Linked DNA regions of Arabidopsis thaliana. The protein of the gene in region 1 interacts with the protein of each later gene in a pairwise test. Each region holds a gene or a part of one and is shown on either strand. Other genes may lie near its edges.

What was found.
Region 2: the proteins of CHR5 (region 1) and AT3G21810 interact in a two-hybrid assay, tested with the Arabidopsis thaliana proteins (one large-scale study listed by BioGRID).

Annotation. Positions count from the first base shown.
Region 1 is NC_003071.7:5,553,557-5,558,111, reverse strand, and holds the start of CHR5 (chromatin remodeling 5), read left to right. Parts: upstream 1-1,551; 5' UTR 1,552-1,907; exon of another isoform or gene 1,908-2,313; intron 2,314-2,485; 5' UTR 2,486-2,568; coding exon 2,569-3,313; intron 3,314-3,468; coding exon 3,469-3,536; intron 3,537-3,755; coding exon 3,756-4,175; intron 4,176-4,548; coding exon 4,549-4,555. UniProt on the Arabidopsis thaliana protein: DNA-binding helicase that specifically binds to the promoter of target genes, leading to chromatin remodeling, possibly by promoting deposition of histone H3.3. Probable chromatin remodeling factor.
Region 2 is NC_003074.8:7,682,341-7,689,147, reverse strand, and holds AT3G21810 (Zinc finger C-x8-C-x5-C-x3-H type family protein), read right to left. Parts: upstream 4,793-6,807; 5' UTR 4,568-4,792; intron 4,416-4,567; 5' UTR 4,297-4,415; coding exon 4,164-4,296; exon of another isoform or gene 3,036-4,163; coding exon of another isoform or gene 2,975-3,035; coding exon 2,831-2,974; intron 2,708-2,830; coding exon 2,674-2,707; intron 2,568-2,673; coding exon 2,426-2,567; intron 2,291-2,425; coding exon 2,234-2,290; intron 2,158-2,233; coding exon 2,060-2,157; intron 1,929-2,059; coding exon 1,857-1,928; intron 1,775-1,856; coding exon 1,548-1,774; intron 1,464-1,547; coding exon 1,264-1,463; intron 1,102-1,263; coding exon 964-1,101; intron 857-963; coding exon 788-856; 3' UTR 532-787; downstream 1-531. Other genes in the region: histone-lysine N-methyltransferase ATXR2, read left to right, coding at 66-142, 261-317, 403-519.

The DNA of each region.
Region 1 (4,555 bases):
ATAAACTTAACCCCACAGTAATAAACTTAAACCTGTTAATAAACTTAACATTGATATAATTATGGTAAAATAGAGAACAATGAATTATGTTTGACAAGATCTTCCTTTTCAAATTATTTAATTTAATCTTTGCATATTTAGACTTGCAGCAACTGTCAACAAGTCGGACACAACAAACGTTCATGCAAGCGTAAAGCAGTGCCAAAACCACCCAAGAAACCTCAAGGACGACCAAGGAAAAAACAGAAAACAATGGATGAAGAGAACCCTATCACTCAACCAATACAATCTTCTCTTCAAAGTTAATGCTTGACAAGTCTTTACTTTAGAATATCTTGTCCCTCTGAAACGATTGTTTTTTTTTGTGACAAATATTGTTGTGTTGCAACAGCTTCGATAGTTATGTTGGTTGGATTTATTTAAGCATGACTCTTTGGATTATTTTAAGTTGTTGTGTCTTTCTTTCAGCTTCTAAAATCCAAACTAATTAAGCAATTCAAAATCATTTAGAACACTAAACGTTTTTTTTGTAATAAATTCAAAACAGTTTTAAAGAACATCATGTGGTTTTTGCGCTAAATACAAATGTCTCGTTGTTGTTTTTTTTGGAAATTAATATCCCATTAATATTTAATACTGTGGGGTTAAGTTTATTAACAGGTTTTAGTTCAGGGTTTGTTTTACTAAAAACATAGTTTAGGGTTTAAAAATGGATCTGGCCAAAGTTGAGGGTTTTTTTCATTAAATTCCCAATGATGTTTACTAAACTAACTAAAACAAGTAATAACAAATAAACTTTAATCACTATCTTCTGATCTCATTGATGACACGTCACTATCAATATCTTCTAATTCTTCTTTATTATCTCGAAGGAATTCTGGTTGCTTATATCCGGCTCTGGTCCAATCATAAGACATGCTTGAGCTTCAGGAGAATCTGGGTTCATTCTTGATCGAGTTTCATCTAGTATTTGACCTCCAATGCCAAAAGCTCGCTCGCTCTTCCATCCATGAATGATTTGAAAGTATTACCTGCATCTGCATCACTAAACTCAAAATTTGTAGATAAATAATTTTCAAAGAGCTTTTGGACTAACATAGATATGCCATGAGTTGTCCATAATAAACTGAAACATGTAGTGAAGAACCCTAATCTTGATCACTTTGGATGCTTCTTCATCAAAAAGAATTAGTGATCCTTGTAAACTATAAAATAAAAATATCATTAATACAATTTACAAACTTTTATATATATTACATAATTATAAAATTTTAAAATCCACTAATTTTAGAAAACATATTATCCTGTAATATATCGCTGATCAATTCCTAGTTGTTTATAATTTTTGGTGTGATCATATATATTTTCAGTTGGTATATGTCACCATGCAACCTAATTTGTTTCTTTCAAATAATTATATTCTAATTCATATAGTTTTATCTTTTTGTGGTCTGGAAATTCAAAAGTTTAACCCTAACCCTAAGTAAAATATCTCATGCCTACCCTTAAAAAAATAAAAAATAAGCAGCAGTCCATAATTCCATTATAGAGAAAACCAAAACCAAAACCACAATCTCATCAACCAAATATTATTAATCGTCCGATAACCCAATCTCTCTTTTCTCCAAACGCTTTTTTTTTTCTCTCACTTCAAAATCTCCCCGAGACCTCTCGCCTTCTCTCGCAGCCGACGATCCCATCCAAAACCAACGCTCTCCGGTGATCGTCTTTCCTTTACCTCGCCGACCTTCTCCGTCTTCTCAATTACGATCTATCATCACCAGAATCCGTTTTCTCTCTTTTAACTCCGATACAAAACTTCCGATAATCCCAAATAAACGTTACGAATTTCAGACTCTTTTTTCCAGTTTCTGTTTGAATTCGATTTCGAAGGATTAGATTCTCCGGTGAGATTTTTAGAAGCGTGTTTGATTTTTCAAATCAAAGTTTGTCAAAACTCTTAGCGTGAATTTTCTCCAGAGTTTATCATCTCTTATGTGACTGTGTTTTAATAGCTTCTTCTCTATAGCTCTTCCTTTGTGCTTCTTCTCTGGGAAACTTCTCTATTCGTATACCTAATTCTAGGGTTCGTTTATCCTAACAATTCGAGATTTAGAGGGCTTTAGGATTCGATTTCGTGTTTTAATCGTGTGGATCTGCTTTCAATTCGTTTATCGTTTCGTTCCACTGAATTGAGTTTGTTGATTGCTTAGACTTTTATCCTCGTCTTGTTGTTTGCTCAATTGAAGAGCAGAGTAGCTTCCGTTAGATCTGCTTTGTTGTGGCATTGATGGAGAGGAGAAATCAATTCATGTTACGTGCTCCTGGAATTCTGGAATAATCTTAATTTTCAGTTGAAACAATGCTTTGCTTCTCTTATTTTCCTGTTAATCAATAACTAAGTGTGAAGTGTGGTTTTTATCGAATTTTTTTAGTATCATTTTGATGCAGGTTATTAACTCATTCGTCTTCTTCTTTTTCTTAGTTCTACTGAGACGTTAGAAGAATTGTGGCTGTTGTCGACTGCAAGGAGAGCGCTTACTTTAATTGCTGATTTCATGAGACGAGATGGCTTTCTTTAGGAACTACTCAAACGATACTGTGTCACATAATGTTCTTGATGAAAATGAGGAGCGGCAAAATGCTGCTACTTTTCAGAGTTCACCTTTGAATGAAGATGTGGATGGTACTTATAGTGAAAGAGGCTTTGACATGAACATGGACGTACAGTATCAAAGTGACCCAGAACCAGGATGTAGTATTAGGCAGCCAAATGAGACAGCAGTTGATAATGTAGCTGATCCTGTGGATTCCCATTATCAATCTTCGACAAAGAGATTGGGTGTAACTGGTAGATGGGGTTCCACATTTTGGAAAGATTGTCAGCCAATGGGACAAAGAGAGGGTTCTGATCCTGCCAAAGATTCACAATCCGGTTACAAAGAAGCATATCATAGTGAAGATAATCACTCAAATGACCGGAGTGAAAAGTTAGATTCTGAAAATGAAAATGATAATGAAAATGAGGAGGAGGATAATGAAATGAACAAGCATCAAAGTGGTCAAGCTGATGTCCCAGCAGATGAAATGTTGTCTGATGAATATTATGAACAAGATGAAGATAATCAAAGCGACCATGTGCACTACAAAGGGTATAGTAATCCTACAAATTCTAGATCACTGCCAAAGGCAGGATCTGCTGTCCATAGCAACTCAAGGACTTCAAGAGCAATTCACAAAAACATTCACTATAGTGATAGTAATCATGACCACAATGGGGATGCTGATATGGACTATGAAGAGGAGGAAGATGGTAAACTCTTTTAATTTGGATTCCTAAATAGATTTGACTCTGTTGTTTGTTTGTACGCAGTACTAGAACTTACGTCTATGTTTTTTCCTCTGAATACTTCCCACGTCAAGTGCTTGGTTTGAACTTCAGTAACATTTGATCTTATTTCTCATCAGAGGATGACCCTGAAGATGCTGACTTTGAGCCCTATGATGCTGCTGATGATGGTGGTGCAAGTAAAAAGGTTTGACTTCTTACAATTCTTGTGTTGGGATACATGTTCATCACAATGAAGCTAAAACTGAACAAAAGAAGGGAGATACTTTCTGAACCATTTCTTAACTAAGTTTGCTATTCGGAAGGATCTTCATTTATAGTTAACATGTTGTGTTCTAGCTTGTTACTTGTTATAGTTTTGATGGGATTTCTTACATGTTACAACTGTGTGGTTGTTTGATTTTAGCATGGCCAAGGTTGGGACGTTTCTGATGAAGACCCTGAGAGTGATGAAGAAATTGATCTTTCCGATTACGAGGACGACTACGGAACAAAAAAGCCCAAGGTTAGGCAACAAAGTAAAGGTTTCCGGAAATCAAGCGCTGGACTCGAACGAAAATCATTCCATGTTTCTAGTCGACAAAAGAGGAAAACATCATATCAAGATGACGACTCAGAGGAAGACTCTGAAAATGACAATGATGAGGGTTTTAGAAGCCTGGCCAGAAGAGGCACAACTCTCCGACAAAACAATGGAAGGTCCACCAATACCATAGGACAGAGTAGTGAAGTTCGCAGCTCCACCCGATCAGTTCGTAAAGTCTCTTATGTAGAGAGTGAAGACAGTGAAGATATAGATGATGGGAAAAATCGTAAAAACCAAAAGGTATGATATCTTGTTACATTTTTTAAGGTTATACATTTTTACACCCTCAACTTGCTTATGTTATCGTGTGGGAATCTAATACATTTGATAGAGACTGGCAGTAGTTTCATGAGCCTTCTCTAAAGCGGTCTAAATAACTCATTGCTATAGTTATAATCTGCACGTCGTACATATTATCTTTCTGTTGGAAACATGTTAAATTTGGAGAACTTACGGTCTTTTGATTTGATTAACTCCAACTATTTGACCTAGAGCAGCCATTAATTTCAACTACTTGGCCTAGAATGAAAGCAATTTCTTTAGAAGCCTTGCCCAGCTACTTAATGAACTTTTTTGTTATGTTATTCCCTTTTATCTGATATATGCTCGTTAGGATGACA
Region 2 (6,807 bases), on another chromosome or scaffold:
ACAGAGGAGTTATGTAACTTGTAACCAAGATTTGACATTATTACATCATCTGTATTTGTGTTTAGGAACGGCCTTCTTCCCTCTGCAAAGCTGTATGAACCATTCTTGTTGCCCTAATGCAAAAGCCTTCAAAAGAGAAGAGGTATCCTTCTTACATCTTCGTCCTCTTTATGGCCTACAAATCTTAAGGATCGAAGATTTTTCATCAACACTTTCAGACTGAATCCAAGTGTAACTCGTTTGTCTTGTGGGTTTTGCAGGACAGAGACGGACAAGCAGTGATAATTGCATTAAGACGCATCAGCAAGAACGAAGAGGTACGCATCTTCTCTTTAATCGTAATAGCAATTGAATATTTTGGAAAAGAGAGCTTGCTTTTGAGTTCCATATGTAAAACAACAGGTGACGATTTCATATATCGACGAGGAGCTTCCATACAAAGAGAGACAAGCATTACTTGCAGACTATGGTTTCAGCTGCAAGTGCTCTAAGTGTCTTGAAGATTCTTCATCAATTTGAAGCATAATTTTTGTTTTCAAAAGAACAGAAATTTTCAATTTTGCCTATATAGTGATTACACTGGAAATCACTACTGAAATAAAGAGTATGGCGTTAGTTTCTCTACGCAACATTGAAACAATAAAAGGACATCTTCGTTTGAAGATCAAGCTTTAGTTCTTTTTCAATATATATCTAAAGATGATGAACAAAGCATGTACCGATTCTAATCATGGTCGTCAATATTGCACCTAACAAACAGGCTACTTTTTAATGTTCAAAGTCTTGATCAGACGGAATCATCGTCATAGGCTTTCTTCTGTTCCATCACATCACCGTTTACATCATCCTCGTCTCTCTGAACACAAAGCACACGAGATTCGTGAGGATCATCATCTCCGAGTACTTACTTTTTGGCAAATTTAGTTTACCAACATAAGTTTTCGAGAATCTACTCGTGCTTACCTGAACATGGGCATCTCTGAAAGGTGGGGGTGGAGGAAGAGATATGAGAGGAGAGCCGTTGGCTGCTTCGGGATTCTCTTCCTCAGATTCTGCAACATCATCAAATTCCCGAGCTGCCATACTCGTAGACAATATAACCTGAAGCACCGTAACCATGTAACCAAGTCTATTATCTCGGCTTTTAACAAAAACACATCTACAACGTGAAAGATCATCAAAAGCACTAAGAATTAACATGATCCCCAACGTCGATCTGCTTCAAGTGAACACCATTTCTGCAGAAGAAGAAAGATGATGTACCTTATCGGTAGCTGAGGTGCCAATAGAGAACCTTCTTCTTTTCCAATTGTCTTCCTTTGACGAGGACCTGTTAATTGTGTCTTCATCGTTCCACGCTCCACTTTCTTCTTCAGAATATGATTTTGAAGAAAGCATATTCCAACAAGGTGGTCTCTTCTTCTCATTCTCCACCTTCTCTTCTTCACCTCTCCCTATCAAGCCTAAAACAGATGGAGAAGGTTCATAACGTGTGTATGAACTGATTTTTAGTTTAGACATAAATCTAATAGTATAGATAAGTTTACCATCTTCAACAGGTTCTTTCGTAGTATATTGATCCACATAATGCTTTTTCCTGGACAGTGAAGAAGTATTCTGCAACTCGTTATGTGGATCACAAGCAGTTCTCAAATTCCGACCATTAGTCTCTTCATCGCTCACAATATCCAGGCCTACATCCCTATTATTGCCTTCACTTCCAGCAAGATACGTACTAAGTTGGTTTCCCAATTTCTGAAGACGGGCTTCTGACCTATAGGTTTGGCATTGTGTTATTGAATGAATTTTTGCATTCTTAAATAAGAAGCAATTAGAAATAGAGATAAATGCCTTGCCTCTTTAGATCATCTTGTGCCCGCAAGAAACGGTTATATTCTTTCACAAATTTCTTCGAGCTTGAAGTAATCCTGACACACAAAAGGATTGAACAATACTTGTCACCAGAAGATCAAGTCCCAGATTTGCCAAATAAAGTTTCTTCAAGTATATCGCATCATAATTAATTTCAAGCAAACATCAAAAAGGAATTAGTCATTACCTCCTACATTCATCTTTCTCTCTATCCAACTGGGTCTCAAGCTCCTGGATCCTAGAAGTAAGAATGTCTACTTCATGTGCCTTCCTTTCAACGGACGCCTTTGGACAAAAGAAATTTGTCAATTAACTCGTATTTACGATGCAATCAAATCAATTGTGGAATGGAGAAATTTACCTCCAATCGTAGTTTGTCATCAGTTAGCATCTTAACATCCATCTCTACATCTTTTAACTGCATATAGACAAATTGGACTTGGGTCCTTTAGCAACATCTTTACAAATGTTTACATCCACTAAACATTAGATTAAGATAAAGCGAAATCACGTCCTCAACTAACACCCAACCAAGAAAATGAAAGTTTCGAACCTGCTCTTCCAGAACATTATTGTAACCATGAAACTTATTTCTTCCATCTTCTGCCCTGTCTTCAATCCTATTCCCAACTTTCAAACCACCAGCATAATCACGTCGTTCATCAAATCTACGGTTCTCCCTGTAGTCTTTATCTCTGTGATAATAAGAAATATAAAGCCGCATTGTTAAAGCATGGCCATCAAATTACCACTGAAATTTCACATAGCATGAGCATAAGCAAAACCGAGGGGAGAAGATACCTTCGATTCTCAAATGGCATAGAATTGTCATGTCCTGCAAATTTGAATTCCGTCGGTAATAAGAAAAGAAAGAAATACAGAACAAACAGTTGACAGAGACTTTTGACTCTGCCTAATCGACAACAGAACTCCATAAACCCAAAGCTGTAGATCTTACCACTAAACCTTTGTACCCGTCTTCCACTTCTGTCTAAGGAAGGTCTCCGCTCTGGAGAAAACTGTCTACCAAGTCTATCTCTTAAGTCACTATCCATATTGTGACGTCTATCTCTTAAGTCACTATCCATATTGTGACGTCTTCCTGCAGTAGACGAAACAGACTTTGCAGTAAAGCATACTTGTGCTACAGATGTGAACTCCATTTCAAACAATCAGAATCATGCCAGTCAACAACACTTGGATAAGATCACAGAAAACTACTAGTAACATAAAGAAAAACGTAATGGTGATTACTTCCCAGTTCAAAGAGACCACAATATAATGTCCTCTTCTTACCAGCAGTTGGAAAGAAACCACAATTGGGTACTAAATAAGTGGAGTCACTGAATCTCATTGATAAATCATAGGTTGAGAAGGCTTCAGATTATGTTGGACGAGAGAAAATAAGAACCAATCTTGAAGTTCCATTTAATTACACAATCAAAATCCACCAAATTTGATATACTGACAATCAAACCCCCATAAACTGCATATTTCTTGATCCAAGAAACCGCTTGAAAGACCATTGAAGATATAAATAATCACAGAAAATACCACGTGCTCCACATACATAACTGGAAGTATGAAAATGCCAGAAGTAATAACAACAGGCATTGATAAATCCTAATAACAAGCATTGCTTGCAACCAAATCTCGGGAGTCTGAAAACCATAGTTGTCGAAGAATAAGTACCCCGCAAAACCCATGATAGATTTTCTTCATAAAGAATGTGCTTTCAAGAGCAATAAGAAAACCAAGATAAATTTCACCACAAAAAAACCCAGCAGATTCCACTCCAATAAGAAAACCAATATAAATTGCAGCCAGAAAGACCAGTAGATTCCATTCCCGGATAAAAAATAATACTAAGCCTGTGAGTAGCTATCTTTCTGCATATTCCAGAATGATTCCGCAGGACAAAACTAGTCAGTAAAAGTTGATATGGAGAAAACCAAATCCAAAGCAAAGTATAATACTGATACCATTACCATGTGTTTATCAAACAGAACACTGTAGGCTGAAACGTTTTACACAATCTCATAAAATATGGAATAATACTCACAAAGCAAATGCATTGAACCACAAAACTTCAGAAGAAAAATACTTCACAGAATCATCAAAGTATAATATAAAAATCTTGCAAAGTCTAAGCAAAAGAGACTTAATTAAATAAAAACTTTTCTATTTTACTCTAATAAAAAGAAGCACTCATAAATTCATCAATCCTTCCACCATTAACAAACTTAAACCAGAATAAATAGCCTATTCAAATGCATAAACGAAAACATTACCTGTAAAAGAAGATTCGCCAGGACGACGAAGCTCAGCATTTCCATGAGCAAAAGTACAATTCGGCCTCGAACAATCACCAGTCTTATTGAACAGAATACAAAGCTTCGTCTTATACATACTCGACCCAGACATGATGTATAAACCAATTACAACGAAACCTCTTTTCTTCAGATCAAAACTTCAAAAGTCAAGCCAACCTCAAAAAGTCAAGCAAACCTCCATAACCATAGATTAACACCACCGTCTCGTTCCTACATACGAAACAGAAGAAACGCTTCAAAATGGAAATCTCTAGATTCTCACTGGAATAGGATTTTCTAAAAATCTCTAGAATCGAGCATGAATAAAAACCAGTTATACATCAATTTCGAGCTATGTAAGACTGAGAAAATCGAAAACCTACAATGGCGATTTTATGCGGTTCGTTTTCTCGCTAGGTTTATCGTTGAATCACACCTTCTTCTTCTTCTTCTTCAATGGAACTTAACGGCAAGGAGGAGAAAACAAGTCGGACGAAAATGATATTACCGGAAAATGAAAACAAAAAGAAAGCTGAAACAATTTAAGGATCGATCCTTCGTATTTATATATTTCTTTTAAGAAAGAAAATAAGTAAAAACAGAGCTGGTATTTTACTATTTTGCCCTTATGTATTCGAAGGATTAACAAAATGTCAAGATTTTGGTTTTGTATACTACCATCAAATCCGGTTTAATTAGAGGTATTTAGTTCTCTAATTCTATTCCAGTTTTGTCTTTTTTCTTTTTCTTTTTTGTTATTAACATTTGTATGATCTGTCTAAATTAAATTACTGAATATTATCTCTATATAAATTTGTACATCTCTCCATATAATGATACAACATTTTACTAAAGTATCTGTACCATTTTATAAATCTTCATAAATGGAAACTGAAAGGTTCTTATGTGTAGAGAAAAAAGCAATAAAATACAAGAGATGGAACATAATCTGAACACTTAATAAAAAAGTTCAAGTAAATGGAGTATGAATATCTCTAAACAATTAATATAGGTAAGTCCTATATATTAGTTTCTCTTTTCTGAAAAATAATTAATCTTGTGAGTTTTATTTTCAGATTTCTAATAAAGTTTTGCCAAAAGTTGACATAGTAAAGATATTAAGATAATGCTCGATATTTTGGGAGAGTTAGAAGTATATAAAATATTTGCCTTGTGATACAATTTTGGTTCTTCGAAATTACATTTTCAATCTTGGCAAATTTACAAACAGGGACGACAAAAACCAAACGCAATGATCATAACAGCGAAGTCATAGACTTATCAGAGAAAGGGAACAAGGAGTATAGGACCAAGTGATACAACTAAGTCAATAAAGCCGATAATAGGCATATGAAAGGTATGATCAAGATTAACAAAACTCCAACGCATATTGCAGAATTGGCCCAAGGGTATGATACGATATCTCGTAATGTCTCTCTGATGGTTTGACCTAAACAAACTCAAACCAAACCCGTTGCTCTCTTTTTAGTCTCTCATGTAAGATCACACCTGAAGATCACATAAACAACATCACACAGAACCAACAATTCTTCATCCAGCAAAATGTGGCAACCTTTTTGTTTCAACGCAGGAAATCAAGAAGGCAACACAAATTATCCACCAACAATTCTCAACATCGAACTCGTATAAGTAATGACAGCAACCATAATTGTTCCGTATGTTAAATCATCACATTTTCCTTCTCATTATTGATAACAGAATTGTATGCGAATGTCTTTAATCAAATGATTAACAATCATAAGACTTTTGACAACTAAAACAGGAAGAAGCAAGAGCATCTCCAACGAAAAAATAGGGATTAATATTGGAGACGGTCTTAATCGAATAATAAAACAGAACAATCATCAATTTCAGTTAGAAAAACCAAATCTGAGAAAAGAAAACATCATTGCACTCCAAACAATCCATCTCGCTCCAACAACTTTATATTCAACCAACAAACCTCATCGTAAATTCAGAGGAAACCCAATTCGTAAATAATGAAAAAGAAGATAGAACAAATGTGTGAGGCATTTCCAGGATCAAATAACATAGAAAAAAAAGCCAAATGATCAGGATATACCACAATCAATATTGCGTCAATGCCATTATACCTAAAGGAACCATATTTAATCCTTCAGAATTGGTAAAAGACGCCATTCATTATTAACAACAATAATAACAAACACAAAGATTTAGGGAAGATCTAAAAAATGCTCAGTGGAAGGAGAAGTCGTTTATTAAAGAGAGCTCACGGCAAAACAAATTTTCATTGCTTTGTCCACTGCCCTTCACGCACCTTCGTGCTATTTTATCATCATCGCAAACCAAATTTCCCCAATAAACAAAAACAAATCAAACTAATAAAGCCTCAGTGTGTGTAACAATTCAGATCATTGATTTTAAAAAAACCTCACTGAAATCCGCTAAGATAATTGTTTTTATCATCATAGGCAATTCAAAGGGAACACCAAAACAAAAACTTTCATTATAGTGGGCGAAAAAGGATTTACTCAGACAGCCAAGGGTTGTTTCTTCAAATTCTGGGTGAAGAGCCCAGATCTGAAACTCTAGTCCACGAAATATTCGTTTCATCACCATAAACCCTTTCTACGCCCCAGAA